Pelodiscus sinensis: one gene and its partner. The protein of the gene in region 1 purifies or fractionates together with the protein of each later gene. This does not show direct contact. Links are inferred from orthologs where the notes say so. Each region holds a gene or a part of one and is shown in the gene's direction. Other genes may lie near its edges.

Region 1 (8,861 bases):
GCAGCGCGGTCTGCACATGCGTAGCGTGCGATTCCACATAGCTGGTGAGTAGGGCTCGCTGCCGCTTGGCGAGCCCTGTGTGTGTGTGTATATATATATATATATATATATATATATATATACACACACACACATTAGTTTCCTTAAAAGGGCCAGTTTCACAAACCTGAAAACAATTATAAGTGAAATCAGCTGGGAGGAAGATTTTAATCAGAAAAACATGAATGATAATTGTATGACAACATTTTACTAGATGCCCCAAAAGCCAAAATTAAGGAAGAAAACCACATTATTTAAAAATGACCTGATTTAGAAAGGAAATGAAGGCAACTATAAAAATGGTATATAACAGATGGAAGAAAAAAAGTGGATAGTAATGACTACAATCAGAAACTAGGAATTGTAGAAAATGGATAAGGGAAGCCAAGGGACACAAAGAGACCTTTATGGGCGAGAGTTCGGGACAAAAAAAGAAGGAGATTTTAAAAGTACATTAGGAACAAAAAGAATCCTAACAATGGTATTGGTCCATTACTAGATGGAAATGGTAGAATCTTATAAATATTTTAGAAAGTGTTTGTTTGTTTGTCCCAAAACATCTCAGAAACGGTAAGAGCTAGAAATACAACATTTTGCATGGATACTACTGATTTCCTAACTTAAATAACAGGATTGGTTATATTCCGAAATCCTCGTGGAATGAGGAGTAACGGTAGTTCGGACTAGGAAGCCTAGTCCGAACTACCTAGTTCATGCCGCGTGTAGCCGCGCTGCACGGGGTTCAAACGAGCAGGGATTTAAAAATGGCGGCGCCCAGTTTATGCAAATGAAGCCCGGGAAATTCAAATCCCGGGCTTCATTTGCAAGTGCAGTATGCCTACATTACCCCGCTAGTTCGAACTAGCGGGGTAGTGTAGACATACCCTAAGAGAAAAGTATTTCCAATCAAATATGCTATAATTGACGTAGTTCAATGAATTAGTGAACTGGCAAGATTTAGACGGAGCCTGAATCCGTAGAGAGGCCAATATAATTGACGTAGTTCATTCATCACACCTTTTACTATATTTTCCCCGGGCGACATCGGGTATTACTGTTAGTTATAAATAAACTTGCACAAAAGGCAAGTGTTCAATAAATATTTCTTATTGTATTTGGAGGGAAAAAGATGGTGTAGTCATGCTATATATTTTTTGGGGGAGAGAAACAAACTTGGCAAATGTGTTTCATGATGACAGTTGGTTAATAAAGTTGTCCTCTCTCACTGACATTTTCTCAATTTTAACCAAACTGAATGTGACTATACAAGGAGGAGGCAATTATTTATTTTGAAACTGGGAGCAGATACACACATTCCAAAAGACATTAGCACTGGGGCAAACACACCTGAAAAACAATCACCCAAGCTATGACATGTTCCCAGCTCTGTTACGACACACAGAGGAAAACAGCATCAGTGAAGAAAAAGCGAATGAAATGGAAAGTGTCACATCGTGACATCTCACTGTTCTGACAATTTTTGTCACCTGTTTCCCAGCAGAAGGGTTTGAAAATTGAAATGAAACGCGTTGGGTGAAAGATCCTTCTGCTTTTGGAAATCCTGGCTCAGTAACGGAGCTAAATGTGATTCCTGATCAAGAAAAAGTTGCTGCAATGCACCTGTGATCACACACTCAGAATATGCCACCAGACGTTGAAATGTGTCATCATTTTGGATAAGTGTTTTCAAAGACTATCCACTGTTACGTAAGATTAGTGTTCTGTTGTGGTCATGATTCATAACAGCCTACCCATGCACGCTGGGATTTTCAACTTTGACAAGGTTAAAAACAAAAGGAAGAAACTGACTCAACAGCTCACCTGAGGTGCATCTTTTGAGCCAGACTGGGCCAAGATCCTGATCAATAGGTAGGTCCACCCAGCACGTTATGTAAGTGAAAAGCCACTTTCCTGCATTTCTCCTGTATTTAAAAATGTTTTACAAGTAGTGTCACTGTCTACTTCTAAAGCTTCAGAGGGGGAGCCAAGTTAGTCTGTAAATGGAAAGACTTAAACAACAACAAAGAATCTGGCAGCACCTGAAAGACTAACAAAACATGTAGATGAGATCCTGAGCTTTCGTGGGCACAACTTCATCTGAAGAAGTGGGTTGTGCCCACGAAAGCTCATGATCCAATCTACATGTTTTGTTAGTCTTTCAGGTGCTGCAGGACTATTTTGTTGTTTTTTAAGTTTGTCTAATTCTATTGGAACTTGAAGTGATGAGGTTTAAGCTAGCATGTCTTGCTCTTTGTTGTGATTTGATGATATTATTGTTTGGGTTGTGGGAATAAGTATTTTGCTTCCACTGTATCTCTCTCTCTCTCTCTCTCTCTCACTCACTCTCTCACACACACACACACACTCTCTCTCTCTCTCTCTCTCTCACACACACACACACACACACACACACACACACACACACACACACACACACACACACACACACACACACACACACACACGACAGGGTTATTGGCAGAGGGTTGCCAGATACTTTCACAAAAAATACCAAACATGGCAGGAAAAAAAATAAAAACCACACAACCTCCCCCCGCCCAGTCACTGCACCTTTAAATCCCCACACTCCCCTGCCCCCACCAAATGCGGCAGGGGAGGAATGTCCCAAGCAGCCTTCCATCCAAGAAAAACAGAAAATACCGGACATTTTACATGTGCAGTATTTTCTGTTTTTTTTTTTATCAGACAGAGGCCACAAATACAGGACTGTCTGGGCCAATCCCAGACAACGTGGCAACCCTACGTTTGAAATCCAGTGCACAGCATGGAGGAGTTTGCTCAGCCTCAGTCCTTGAGTCTCCACAGGCTTCCTTGAGTGAGCCTCCCCTACTTCATTTGTGCCTCTCTCATACTTTCCCTCTCCTCCAGTCCTGCTGCTGGGTCCCAGCACTGGCTGTGAATTTGAGGGATGCTCCCGCTTCCATACTTCAAAACAAATGAAGGGGCCTTGAATTCACCATTCAGAGGAGGGCTCCACCCAGCTCCTCTCAAAGGACTCCTCCACAGCTGACCCAGTGCAAATAGATTTGCTGTCCTTATTTGTGTCCTGCCATCAGACCCACCCACAGCACTGCAGTCCTAAATACTAAAGTCACCCACACACTACTGTCCCGCCTGCCTTACGAGCTACCCCTTTTTATCCAAACCAGCACCTGGGCCCATCTTTCCGACACCTTCACATGGAGATCCAGGGATCAACGTGGCCCAAACTGAGCGCCTGACGTCCCCCCAAGCCAACTTCTCTTTTCTCTTTCACTGTGGACACTGCCCCGACAGTCCGGGCTTGGCCTCTCTACGGATTCAGGCTCCGTCTAAATCTTGCTAGTTCACTAATTCATAGATTCCAAGGTTGTGATAATCAATTGTGTCTTCCTGCCTAAAAGGGGAGAAAACTGCCCCCAAATAAATCCTGGGCAGGATCCCCCCCCAGTTCAGTCTTTGGGGACACTGGGCAGAGCCACCCCAGTGTGGGCATTGTGGGGTCTGAAGTCAGGGGCCACTATTCGGGGCATGTCTTTAGTGGGGGGAGAGGCCTTGGCCATTGTCCATCCACGTGGGTTGTGTGAGGGCCCTCCTTATGAAGTTGGTGGGGTCTATGCCCTCTAGGTGCAGAGAGCCTTGGCCACGGCCCTCCCCTCATGTAGATACTGTGCCCCCTAGGTGTGGTAGGGGCCTCTGCTGAGGGTGCAGGCTCTGGGTGTGACGGGATGAGAGGCTCGGGATGCAGGAAGAGGCTCAGGACTTGGACAGAGGATTGTGGTATGGCGGGGGAGTGAGGGTCGTGGGCTCTGGGAAGGAGTTTGGGTACAGGAGGAGACTCCGGGCTGGGATATGGGAGGTAGTCGGGGGTATTTGGACCTGGCAGCATCTGCTGCAGCTCCTAGGAAGTAGCACTCGAAAGTGCTGTCCCTGCAGCTTCCAGTGGTCATGGCTCCTAGCCAATGGGAGCTGCAGAGCCAGCACTCCACACGCTGCCCCCCCACCCACTAGTGACAGCTCCGCAGCTCCCATTGGCCAGGAACTGTTGCCAAGTGACAGCTGTGCCGCTCCCATTGGCCGGGAACTGGGACCACTGGGAGCTGCAGAGGCTGTGGACCGCACCTTCCCGTGCCTAGGAGCCGCAGGGGTCTGGGAGCTGGGTGGAGCCAAGGGGGCTGGGCCCCCTCCCTGCTACCCACCCGACTTGTAACCGCCCAGGTGGCTGGGCCTTTCCGCCGGGCGCTCCAGCCAAAAACCAGCTGCCTGGCCAGGCCACCCGACCCCTGGTGGGCAGGCGCCTGGGAGACCCCCATTGCTGTGCAGGGTGGGGGGGGCTGGGGCACCCAGCGAGGGCTCCGCGCCCCCTAGGTAGGGCAGCAGCCCTGAGCACCGCCCCTCCCCCCCCCGGGAGGTGCTGAGCAGGGTGGGGAGCCGCGCAGTCCCCGCCTCCCATCCACGTGTCCTCTTCCCCGCCGAGTCCCTTCCTCCTCGCCCGAGACTACAACTCCCGGCGTGCGCCGCGCCGCCGCCTCTGCGCCGGCGCCGGGGGCTGCGGGGCCGCGCGCGGGGCCCGCCGGGGGCTGTAGTGCGCGGCGCCGGCCTCCCGCTCGGCGGCCGCGGCGCGGCGGACTCCAACCCCCAGCAGGCCCCGCGGCGGGAGGCGGCGCTGGCGGTCACGTGGCCGGGAGAGAGGGGGGGGCGGCGCACGGTGGAGCAGGCAGCGGCGGCGGCGGCGCGGCTGGGGCTGCGGGAGGCGGCTGCGCGGTGCGGGCTGTTGTTGTGGCGCCCCGCCCGGCTCGGCTCGGCTCGGCGCGCCCGGAGGCCCGGCAGCATGAGCGACAACGATGACATCGAGGTGGAGAGCGACGTGAGTGGCGCCCCTGCCCCCCCCGGCCCGCCGGCCGCCCGCCAGTAACGCGAGTGTCTCTGTCTCTCTCTTATTGCAGGACGAGCAGCCGAGGTTTCAGTCTGCGGTACGTGCTGCCTTCGCGCCCCGCCCGGCCCGCGAGCGCCAGCGCCGGGGGGGCAGGCCGAGTGCGCCGCGGGCGGGCCGGGGAGCGGACCCAGCTGGCGCTGGGCTCATGTGATCCCGGGCGGACGGGGGTGAGCGGCCGGGGCTGGCGTCCAGGCAGGGAGATGAGTAGGGGGGTCCGGGACCCAGCAGAGCCGGTATCAGGCGATGTGTAGGGGGGTCCGGGACCCAGGAGAGCCGGTATCAGGCGATGTGTAGGGGGGTCCGGGACCCAGGCGAGCCGGTATCAGGCGATGTGCAGGGGGGTCCGGGACCCAGGAGAGCCGGTATCAGGCGATGTGCAGGGGGGTCCGGGACCCAGGCGAGCCGGTATCAGGCGATGTGCAGGGGGGTCCGGGACCCAGGAGAGCCGGTATCAGGCGATGTGCAGGGGGGTCCGGGACCCAGGAGAGCCGGTATCAGGCGATGTGCAGGGGGGTCCGGGACCCAGGAGAGCCGGTATCAGGCGATGTGTAGGGGGGTCCGGGACCCAGGAGAGCCGGTATCAGGCGATGTGCAGGGGGGTCCGGGACCCAGGAGAGCCGGTATCAGGCGATGTGCAGGGGGGTCCGGGACCCAGCAGAGCCGGTATCAGGCGATGTGCAGGGGGATCCGGGACCCAGGAGAGCCGGTATCAGGCGATGTGTAGGGGGGTCCGGGACCCAGGCGAGCCGGTATCAGGCGATGTGTAGGGGGGTCCGGGACCCAGCAGAGCCGGTATCAGGCGATGTGTAGGGGGGTCCGGGACCCAGGAGAGCCGGTATCAGGCGATGTGTAGGGGGGTCCGGGACCCAGGCGAGCCGGTATCAGGCGATGTGCAGGGGGGTCCGGGACCCAGGAGAGCCGGTATCAGGCGATGTGCAGGGGGGTCCGGGACCCAGGCGAGCCGGTATCAGGCGATGTGCAGGGGGGTCCGGGACCCAGGAGAGCCGGTATCAGGCGATGTGCAGGGGGGTCCGGGACCCAGGAGAGCCGGTATCAGGCGATGTGCAGGGGGGTCCGGGACCCAGGAGAGCCGGTATCAGGCGATGTGTAGGGGGGTCCGGGACCCAGGAGAGCCGGTATCAGGCGATGTGCAGGGGGGTCCGGGACCCAGGAGAGCCGGTATCAGGCGATGTGCAGGGGGGTCCGGGACCCAGCAGAGCCGGTATCAGGCGATGTGCAGGGGGATCCGGGACCCAGGAGAGCCGGTATCAGGCGATGTGTAGGGGGGTCCGGGACCCAGGCGAGCCGGTATCAGGCGATGTGCAGGGGGGTCCGGGACCCATGAGAGCCGGTATCAGGCGATGTGTAGGGGGGTCCGGGACCCAGGAGAGCCGGTATCAGGCGATGTGCAGGGGGATCCGGGACCCAGGAGAGCCGGTATCAGGCGATGTGCAGGGGGGTCCGGGACCCATGAGAGCCGGTATCAGGCGATGTGTAGGGGGGTCCGGGACCCAGGCGAGCCGGTATCAGGCGATGTGCAGGGGGATCCGGGACCCAGGAGAGCCGGTATCAGGCGATGTGCAGGGGGGTCCGGGACCCAGGCGAGCCGGTATCAGGCGATGTGCAGGGGGGTCCGGGACCCATGAGAGCCGGTATCAGGCGATGTGCAGGGGGGTCCGGGACCCAGGAGAGCCGGTATCAGGCGATGTGTAGGGGGGTCCGGGACCCAGGAGAGCCGGTATCAGGCGATGTGTAGGGGGGTCCGGGACCCAGGAGAGCCGGTATCAGGCGATGTGCAGGGGGGTCCGGGACCCAGGAGAGCCGGTATCAGGCGATGTGTAGGGGGATCCGGGACCCAGGAGAGCCGGTATCAGGCGATGTGCAGGGGGGTCCGGGACCCAGGAGAGCCGGTATCAGGCGATGTGCAGGGGGGTCCGGGACCCAGGAGAGCCGGTATCAGGCGATGTGCAGGGGGGTCCGGGACCCAGGAGAGCCGGTATCAGGCGATGTGCAGGGGGGTCCGGGACCCAGGAGAGCCGGTATCAGGCGATGTGCAGGGGGATCCGGGACCCAGGAGAGCCGGTATCAGGCGATGTGTAGGGGGGTCCGGGACCCAGGCGAGCCGGTATCAGGCGATGTGTAGGGGGATCCGGGACCCATGAGAGCCGGTATCAGGCGATGGGTAGGGGGGTCCGGGACCCAGGAGAGCCGGTATCAGGCGATGTGTAGGGGGATCCGGGACCCAGGCGAGCCGGTATCAGGCGATGTGTAGGGGGATCCGGGACCCAGGAGAGCCGGTATCAGGCGATGTGCAGGGGGGTCCGGGACCCAGGAGAGCCGGTATCAGGCGATGTGTAGGGGGATCCGGGACCCAGGCGAGCCGGTATCAGGCGATGTGTAGGGGGGTCCGGGACCCAGGAGAGCCGGTATCAGGCGATGTGCAGGGGGATCCGGGACCCAGGAGAGCCAGTATCAGGCGATGTGCAGGGGGATCCGGGACCCAGGCGAGCCGGTATCAGGCGATGTGTAGGGGGGTCCGGGACCCAGGAGAGCCGGTATCAGGCGATGTGTAGGGGGATCCGGGACCCAGGAGAGCCGGTATCAGGCGATGTGTAGGGTGGTCCGGGACCCAGGAGAGCCGGTATCAGGCGATGTGTAGGGGGGTCCGGGACCCAGGAGAGCCGGTATCAGGCGATGTGCAGGGGGGTCCGGGACCCAGGAGAGCCGGTATCAGGCGATGTGCAGGGGGGTCCGGGACCCAGGAGAGCCGGTATCAGGCGATGTGCAGGGGGGTCCGGGACCCAGGAGAGCCGGTATCAGGCGATGTGTAGGGGGATCTGGGATCCAGGGCGAGCCGGTATCAGGCGATGTGTAGGGGGGTCCGGGATCCAGGCGAGCCGGTATCAGGCGATGCAGGCAGGGAGATGTGTAGGGGGATCCGGGACCCAGGCGAGCCGGTATCAGGCGATGCAGGCAGGGAGATGTGTAGGGGGATCCGGGACCCAGGAGAGCCGGTATCAGGCGATGCAGGCAGGGAGATGTGTAGGGGGATCCGGGACCCAGGCGAGCCGGTATCAGGCGATGCAGGAAGGGAGATGTGTAGGGGGATCCGGGACCCAGGAGAGCCGGTATCAGGCGATGCAGGCAGGGAGATGTGTAGGGGGATCCGGGACCCAGGCGAGCTGGTATCAGGCGATGCAGGCAGGGAGATGTGTAGGGGGATCCGGGATCCAGGGCGAGCTGGTATCAGGCGATGCAGGCAGGGAGATGTGTAGGGAGATCTGGGATCCAGGGCGAGTTGGTATCAGGCGATGCAGGAAGGGAGATGTGTAGGGGGATCCGGGATCCAGGGCGAGCTGGTATCAGGCGATGCAGGCAGGGAGATGTGTAGGGAGATCTGGGATCCAGGGCGAGTTGGTATCAGGCGATGCAGGAAGGGAGATGTGTAGGGGGATCCGGGACCCAGGCGAGCCGGTATCAGGCGATGCAGGCAGGGAGATGTGTAGGGGGATCCGGGACCCAGGAGAGCCGGTATCAGGCGATGCAGGCAGGGAGATGTGTAGGGGGGTCCGGGACCCAGGAGAGCCGGTATCAGGCGATGCAGGCAGGGAGATGTGTAGGCGGATCCGGGACCCAGGAGAGCCGGTATCAGGCGATGCAGGCAGGGAGATGTGTAGAGGGGATCTGGGATCCAGGAGAGCCGGTATCAGGCGATGTGTAGGGGGATCTGGGACCCAGGGCGAGCCGGTATCAGGCGATGCAGGCAGGGAGATGTGTAGGGAGATCTGGGATCCAGGGCGAGTTGGTATCAGGCGATGCAGGAAGGGAGATGTGTAGGGGGATCCGGGATCCAGGGCGAGCTGGTATCAGGCGATGCAGGCAGGGA
Region 2 (8,718 bases), on another chromosome or scaffold:
TCCGTCTGGTGCCCAGACGGAAAAATCAGAGAATACCGGACACTGCACGTGTCCGGTATTGTCTGATTATTTTTTTTACTGGGCAGAGGGCTCAAATACTGGACTGTCCGGTAGGATACCGGACACCTGGCAACCCTATCGAGGGCAGGGCAATGTCAGGAAGGGTAGGGTTTGGGGGCTGGTAACGGACAGTCCCATGCAAGATTGCTCTGGCCAGGACTGGCCCACTCCCTGGCTGGGAGACTGAGACCCCTAATTTAGGGCCGGATTGTGCAAAGGGCTGAGCGGCCCTTGGACAGAGACTTCCAATGAGGAACCTGCACCGGGAGTGGAGTGCAGGGGTGTAGCCATGTCGGTCGAAGGACGTTAGAGAGGCAAGGTGGGCCGGAAAATATCTTTTATTGGACCAGCTTCTGCTGTTGCGAGAGACCAGCTCTAGTGTGTACCCAGAGCTGTTCTTCAGGCCAGCAGCTCAGAGGTGCTTGGTTTTGCAGGATCTGGTGCTTAGGGCCTGACTTTCCGAGTTGCTTGTGCAGCTATTCAGGAGAAATTCCAATGCCGCCCAGTGGGTTAGCAGAGCACCCACAGGTAGGTTTTGTTTCTGCTGGAGATGCACATGCCTCAGTGCACACAAAAAAATTATTCTGCACATGGATGGAAAAATCCACACATGGGTGGAAAAGATTCGAGGGAACATGGGAGCTTAGCAGGCATCCTCACTGAAGAGGGTGCCTTACTAATCTGCTAGAGTTCTTTGAGGGGGGTCAGCAAAAATGTGGACAAGGGGGATCCAGTGAAGATACTGTACTTAGATTTCCAGAAAGTCTTTGACAAGGCCTCTCACTAAAGGCTCTTAAGTAAAGTAAGTTGTCATGGGATAAGTGGGAAGGTCCTTTCATGGATTGATAACTGGTTAAAAGACAGGAAGCAAAGTGTGGGAATAAATGGTTAGTTTTCAGAGTGGAGAGAGGTAACTAACGGGGTCCCCCAAGGGTCTGTCCTGAGACCAATTCTATTCAACTTATTTATACATGATCTAGAGAGAGGGGTAAACAGTGAGATGGCAAAATTTGCAGATGATACCAAACTGCTCAAGATAGTTAAGACCAAAGCAAACTGTGAAGCGCTTCGAAAAGATCTCACCAAACTAAGTGACTGGGCAACAAACTGGCAAATGAAATGTAATGTTGATAAATGTAAAGTAATGCACATTGGAAAAAATAATCCCAACTATACATACAATATGATGGGGACTAATTTTGCAAGATCTCTCTCTATCCCCTTTTTAATGATTCCTAACATTCTATTTGCTTTTTTGACTGCCGCTGCACATTGAGTGGATGTTTTCAGAGAACTATCCAGTGATGGCTACTTTATACAAAAAAAGGTTGAGAAACACTGGGCTAGATGGCTTGTTAGTTTGACCCAGTCTAGTGGCTGTTATGTTCTAAAACAAGTGGAGCTGAGTGATGGTGCTTTGCAAGATCAGGCCTTTATTTTTTAAGCCTTTGGTGCTGATTTTTTTACACCACCTGTGGCGCTCGCAGGCTGCTTTCCCTTCTCTGTGCAGGGATGAATCACGCCAGGGAACTCCCTGTATTGAAAGGCAGGGCAGAGCCAGCTCCATTTTCCCCTGCGCTGCGCGAACTTCCCTGTCGAGCCGCCTCACGTGTTTCCCCGGCGGGGCCCTGGGAGAAATGGCGCACGGGCCCTTTAAGGAGCAGGCTTGGCCAGCGCAAGCCATGACTAGACAGATTATCCTGCCCGAGGTGACTGTGCTCCGCCTCCCTCTGCCAGATCAGGCGGCTGGTGTAAGGCCCGGAGCTCCGCCCCCCTCCACGTTGGGTTGCCTGATTTACTGGGGAGGGTGAAACGCCGCAGAAGAGGCGGCTTTGCCTTTCCCCTCCTCCCCCCGCCTGCACCCCCCCCCCCACCTCTTCCTCCTCCATCCTCCAAATGCAGCAGCCTCCGCCAGCAACATCCATCACGAGGCTGGGAGAAAGCCAGTGCGGGCAAAAACTGGGGCCAAGGGCTTGGGGAGACTGTGCAGCGGGGAGGCTGATCTGGGCGCTTTTTGGGCCATAGGCATCACGCTGAGCCTGCCCGCTGGGGCGTGCGTGGCTGCTTGATCCTCGCAAATACACCCTCCCCCCAGGGATCAAACACCTGCAAGGGAGCGGGAGGGGCCTTCCTCTCTCCTGGGATTGCCGATCGCCTAACGTCAAAGGGAGCCGTCCCCGAGGTTAACGCACCTGGCGCTGTGCCCCCAGCACCGTTCGCGGCATAGGTGTTCAGTGTGAGCACCCCCCGGACTACAGCCCGCTGAACCCCCTCTCCCCCATACGATGCCTTGCGCAGCGCACGGGAAAGCACCGATTCCGTGGGCGCATGGAACCGAGAGCGCGTCCGCTGCGGGGTAGGGGGAGCGCACCCCAGGGCGCCGGGTGTCTGGGCTCGGCCGGGTATTTTACAGCCTTCGGGGCTCCATGTTGCAGCAGCTCCCGGTGCATCTCGCAGCCCGCGGGGCTGCCGCCGACTTGCTCGGCGGCCGGGTGCCCTGGATTGGAGGTAATTCCTTTGGCTCCGTAACCAACGCAGCGCGCCCCGTTGGCTGCGGGGACCTCCCCTTCCCGCGCCCTGCAGTTTTCTGACCCTGGCTGAAACATCTCCCGGGAGCGCCGTGTTCAGAGCATTTTAGGCTGTTTCATTCAGCCGCAGCCTCCCCCTTTCTTCGAGGCCCCCTGCGGGTGCGAATCTCCGTCCCAGGAGCGTGGGAAGGAAAAACCCTCTCCCGGTGGCACACTGATGGAGGCGCAGCCATCAGGGTTCACCGGGGGTAACGTGCCCTCCTCCTCTTCTAGTGCGCTGTTCATGGCTGCTGGGGAAACTCCGAGGGTGGCTGGCCCTTTAAAGGAGACGCCGTCGGAGGCAGACGGAGCAGGGTGCCCATGTGGAGCTGCTCCATGCCTTGTTGTTTTCCAAGCGGATTGGCTCGGGGCAGGATGACATATTGTAATCGGATGCAAACGCACTGCGGGGGGAGGAGCAGGTGGAAAACCCGGCGCCAGGACTCACCTCTCATCCTCTTGCAACCAGACCTGGGGTATCATTTAGTACAAAATAATAGTGCATGCAACTCATGGAGTTGTCTCGTTCTCTGTCAAAGTAATCGCAAAGCAAGAGGCACCCCTCCTTCCCAGGAACGAACCAAGTAAAAGAAACTGGCACTCAGCAACTGAAAACAAGCCTGTCTGTAAAAATAAATGTGGGTTTCTTTTTTGCCCTGCAGAAACATCTGATGTAGCCTTAATGGGTATTTGTACCCTGTTGTGTATACTTACCTTCCTGTGCTGCAAGGGCAGGAAGTGAATTCAGTGATCTATTTGGCCTTTTCCATTTACATAATTTATCTTGTCCTGAATTACACATGGAACCTTATTTGTTTTCAATGATAGCTACAGGCATATATGAATAATTATGATCACATGTTCTCTTCTGTTTCATCTACCCTGTACATTCCCATTTGCAAAGTTCATACTGATGTGATGGGACAATACCCTTCCTCTTTCTAGGAACCTAGTGCTGAATATTGAGCAAAGGGCGGTCTTGCAGAACCAGTAACTGCATCATTGTCATGGTTATATAAGAACATAAGAACGGTCGTACTGGGTCAGACCAAAGGTCCTTCAAGCCCAGTATCCTGTCTACCAACGGTGGCCAGCACCAGGTACCCCAGAGAGGGTGGACCGAAGACAATGATCAAGCGATTTGTCTCCTGCCATTTCTCTCCAGCCTCTGACAAACAGAGGCCAAGGACACCATTTTATCCCCTGGCTAATAGCCTTTTATGGACCTAGCCTCCATGAAATTATCTAGCTTCTCTTTAAACTCTATTATAGTCCTAGCCTTCACAGCCTCCTCTGGCAAGGAGTTCCACAGGTTGACTACACGCTGTGTGAAGAAGAACTTTCTTTTATTAGTTTTAAACCTGCTACCCATTAATTTCATTTGGTGTCCTCTAGTTCTTCTATTTAGGGAACTAATAAATAACTTTTCTTTATAGGCCCTCTCCACACCACTCATGTTTTTATGAAACACCACTCTTTTGTTTTTATGAAAGACCTGTCATTCATACTGACTTCTATTACAGTTAGAGGTATTTTCAAATAATTCATGAAAGAAGAGAAAAATCAGCTGATGTGGAAATTCTAAGATCTCTGTCAGTTTGTGTTAATAAAATGTCAGGTGACTGATTTGTGTAAGCCAGGGTGTCCAACACACTAGCCCCATGTGACTACTTGGCTGGTAAAGTGTAGCTAGTTGGCTTGAACAATGTGGCTGTTTGACCAGTTGAGTGGGGCTAGATTGCTATATAACTGGTTGGACACCAGGGCTGTATCTTATTTAGGTCCTGGTTTTCAGCAGTGTGAAGCACCCATAAATCCAGATGAAGTTCTTAACACCAGAGCTGGAGGTACTTAACCCCACTGAACAATCAGGTCCCAATAAATAATAACTGCAACACCTGAGGTTGCTGACCGGAAATATTCTGTGGGCAACAATACTGCAGGGAAAGAGAACAGAGAGCAAAATGACCTAATTTCCCCTCCCCCATCTATAATTATTATAATTAATAATTATATTGAAAGCAAGGGGTACCCTCCACCTGCTCAGACCCAGTCGGTAACATGCAGACCAAAGCCAGTCTAATTTGTGAGACAGAATCTTTTTGGATTAAAGTGTAGATAGATGTGTTTGATTTATTTATTTGTATTTATTTAAATATTTTACCCCCCCATTCTATTTGATTAGTGATAGATAGTTCACAACTAAGTTAGAACAAAGTTCCATGAAGATAGTCTTATCTGACCGTTTGAGTGACTCACTCAAATCCATCAAGAAAAGGAGAATTAAAAAAAAAACACATTTAATTGATCCCAAATAAGAGCCTTGGCCGATCTGCTCCCTTTTGTAGCAAGAGTTTTCACTCAAACCTGCAGTGGTTAAACTCCACCCCTGCAAAATGGCATTGACGAGTTCCAATCCAGTGACCTACACCGATCCAGGCTGGGTTTTGTCTGCAGCTGTCTGTATAGTAGCCGAGGGCAGTGTTAGGCCTTTTTTCTTGTTGTGTTTCTGTTACATACTCATCGCCATCTTGTTGCAAACCCTTTTCTTGTCTGGAAGATTCGCAGGGGATCGGGGGTGGGGGGGTGGTTTGATCAGGCATTTTGACTTGGGAGAAGAAAAGAAGAAGGAGACCTCCCGGTTTTTTTAAGTCTCCAAGATTTTGGATCCTCCACTGAAAGGCAACCCAAGAGATGAGCATTGAGACGCTTTTGGAAGCGGCCAGATTTCTGGAATGGCAAGCCCAGCAACAACAGAAAACACGTGGTAAGGGGGGGACAGCATGTAAAATCGGAATTAGAGCGGTTTAAAGACACAGGACACCATTTCCCCAAAGCGGGGGGAAATATAGTCTTTATTTTTAGAAGAAAGCAGCCTTACTTTCAGCCACCCGCCGCTGCACTGCGTGTTACCGACTGGGTCTGAGGCGGGTGGAGGGTACCCCTTGCTTCCAAAGCGGATTTTGTAAGAAAAAAGCACGGTCTGCAGTCCGTTCCAAATCATTCTATGGAATGATTGCAAAGGGGCTTGGAGATAAACCAGCCTCCCTTTAGCCTTGGGAATCAGCTCTGGACCAGGCAAGTCTTTAATTTGGGATGGAGTGGAGCATTTAGTAGCGATGTGCTGACACATGCTTGTGGGCGATCGGAGAGGCTTGGTTTTCCGGAAGATTAGCTGTCTCTCACCTTTCCTCTCTCATTCATCTGTATGTATGTACAATGCACAGACTCTTACTCGTAGGAGGGGAGTCTGCCAAAGCACTTTTTTTTTTCTTTGCTGAAATGGTGAAAACGATCGTGTTCAGAAAGGAAGAATCACCGAAGCCTTATTTTTTGGGTCAGAACATAAAGCTGTGTTAAGAATGTGTATCTCTGCTGGTGGGTTGGGAGGGAGTAGTTATGCGCCAAAATGACCCCCCCTAAATCTGCCTTCATAGATTTGCTTTGCAGTTGAATTCTTAGAATGATCCTTGTTCTATTTAACGTGTGCATGGCTTTTTTTTGTTCCTTGTGGGGGAAAAAAAATCTATATTTCAGGGCTTAGGGCGGTGGCAGTTCTCCAGCAGAGCTGAGCGAGGGGAGGTTGCTTTTTGCATAATGAAATGACATCGAGTGTCATATGATACACGCCACACAGTTCCTCCCTCCCTCCCTTTTTTGTGTGTCTGCCTTCCTGGAAATGTGCAGAGGGGAACCTTGGGTGGTTCTCCTTCCTCCCCCCCGCCAATGGTGGGATGGGGTGGGTGGGGAGAGCCCTGATTCCGTCTGCGGGGGGGGGGAAGGATCAGGCCAAGGCTGGGATGCCTTTCCTTTCGCATTTGGAATCTAGGGTGCTGCTGGCTCGCCGCGTTCCAAACTAGTGCGTTCCATTGGGGGGGGGGGGGGAATGACGTGTCAGGCCCCGCCCTCTACCACGTGCGCCGCCGACACTCCCTGTGGGGCTTTTGTTGGGTTGGGCCACAGCTGTGCTTTCGTTCTGAGCGGGGAGTGTGTGCCCGGTGGGGGAAGGGCTGCTCCATTCCGGGGAGGGGGAGGAGTCAGAAGTGCAAGGGGGGGGGGGGTTAAAGAATAATTTACACCCTGCTGCTGGTCTGCTCATTCATGTGCCAGTGCAGTTTATCCGGGCATCTCTTGCTGCAGGAAGAACCAGGCTGCACCCCCAGGAGTTTATAGTATATATGGGATTAAAAATAGAGCAGCAAGAACTGTACTTCGGTATTTTCCCTCCAGCTTATCTCCCTCCCCCCTCCCCATGTGATCTTCATCCTGCAGATAGTAAGGGGTGTGCACTAGAGTGGTGATTATTTCATTTCTTAGGTTGTGGTGACATTCACTGTATGCCATCCAGAAGTCAGCCACTTGCAGCCCACTGGGCCGTGTGTGGCCCATGAGGTGTTTTTGTTTACCGTTGCCTGGGCACCGGGTTGCCAGAGTCTGCTGGTTTTTGCCCACCTAGTTTTTTAAACTTGAAGGGCACACAAAGTGAGGGGCGTGCTGATTTCACACAAAGCTGAGTGTGAGAACCACGCACTCCCTCTGCATTGAATCAAAGTGGTGCTACAATTCAGTCGGCCCATCCCACATATCCTAAGTGCACAAGTACACTTGGCTAAAATACCCTGTCCCAGGAGACGGTCTTGGTTACCACTATCTTGTGGCTCGCTGAGATGAAGGAGGGCTGCTCATGCGGCCCACTCACTAGCCTAAGTTGTCCTTCACTGTGCTACACAAAGGCAGGCTTTTAGGTGCATCAATCTGTCTTCCAATTCCCACTGGCTTGCAGGGAGATGCCTGCAATGTTTTGATCAAGACGAGAAGGGTAGTTTTAAAATCATCATTCTGGGTGCTGCTGCATGTGTGTGTGTGTGTGTGTGTGTGTGTGTGTGTGTGTGTGTGTGTCTCTCTCTCTCTCTCTCTCTCTCTCTCTCTCTCCAATTCTTCCTTTGTGGGGATATTTTTGGTGGAGTGGATGTGGAAATCTCAGTCTACTTGAGTTTTAGATATTGGCCTGTATCAAGATGTGCCAAATAAAAAATGAACCCAGGACTTTTATTGGCATTCATAATAGTGGGAGTGTATGGGCAGGATTAGACCTCCTGCAGGAGGTACCATAGGGTTAGGCATCCCCACTTCCAACCTGTTATCTTTTCATCACATGGTAGCATAGTTGTAGGTGCGGATGATACCTGGCTACTTGGCAAGAATGCCATCTTTCCTGATTGATCGCCGAACTTGCTATCAACCTTAACCCTGGCATCATTCACTTTTTCTGTAACAAGTGTAACCTTTTCAAAACGAGATTAAGTGTGTATCTATGTGTGGCTAGATTAGCAGTGCATTAATACAGTAAGTGGGCTTTCAATTAATTCTAATCAAGCAAAGGTGCTTGAAAATATTACAGTTGCATTTTGGGATTCCCCTTTTTATTTATTCATTTTATGTGTGTGTTGTCAAAGCAGTTGGAGCGATAATGCAGCATTAGCTCAGTGACACTACCTGCTGCAAAAGCAAGAAGGAACAGCTCTCTTTGTATGTCATTGCTGTGGGATGCAGACGAAAATCTATTGTTTCACTGATGAGTCATGCAGGAGATAGTGGATGTGGTGAAGAAAGGCAGCTTGGAGACATGAAAGACCAGACAGCTTTCTGGTTAACTAAGAAGGAAAAATCATCAGTGTAGGCTAGTGGGCTAACATGTCGTCTTCCGAGCCAGAGCTAATGTCATCGCTGAAGCTGGGAGTTGTACCTGTAAACTGAAGCTTTAGGATGAATTTTTTTTAAAAAAAATCCATGTGCACATTTAAGATGATGGTTTTACAGCCTCCATATTCCAACTTGCTCCCTGGTTAGTGTTAATGTTCCTAGCTCCACAGCAAGTGCACCCTAGAAATAGAAGAGATGAAATATGTGAGACGTGGTGGCAGGCATGCATGGGACGATAATTTCTCAGGTGCCCCAAAATATGGGAGGCATAGCGCAGAACAAGTAGTGGTAGGGTCCCAGCTGTGTCTGGCAAGGTGAGGTCAGCAAGACACAACAAAGGAATGTCACAGGCACACAGGAGCAGGTGGGGATTGCATGAGAGAGCAGG

What was found.
Region 2: the proteins of MAX (region 1) and MNT purify together in Homo sapiens (affinity purification with mass spectrometry; 7 studies listed by BioGRID and IntAct, with this or other methods). This does not show direct contact. The link is inferred for Pelodiscus sinensis from reciprocal best matches to the Homo sapiens genes MAX and MNT.

Annotation. Positions count from the first base shown.
Region 1 is NC_134714.1:129,402,906-129,411,766, reverse strand, and holds the start of MAX (protein max), read left to right. Parts: upstream 1-4,717; 5' UTR 4,718-4,870; coding exon 4,871-4,906; intron 4,907-4,985; coding exon 4,986-5,012; intron 5,013-8,861. UniProt on the Homo sapiens protein: Transcription regulator. Forms a sequence-specific DNA-binding protein complex with MYC or MAD which recognizes the core sequence 5'-CAC[GA]TG-3'. The MYC:MAX complex is a transcriptional activator, whereas the MAD:MAX complex is a repressor.
Region 2 is NC_134731.1:11,654,787-11,663,504, reverse strand, and holds the start of MNT (max-binding protein MNT), read left to right. Parts: upstream 1-5,132; 5' UTR 5,133-5,321; coding exon 5,322-5,394; intron 5,395-8,718. UniProt on the Homo sapiens protein: Binds DNA as a heterodimer with MAX and represses transcription. Binds to the canonical E box sequence 5'-CACGTG-3' and, with higher affinity, to 5'-CACGCG-3'.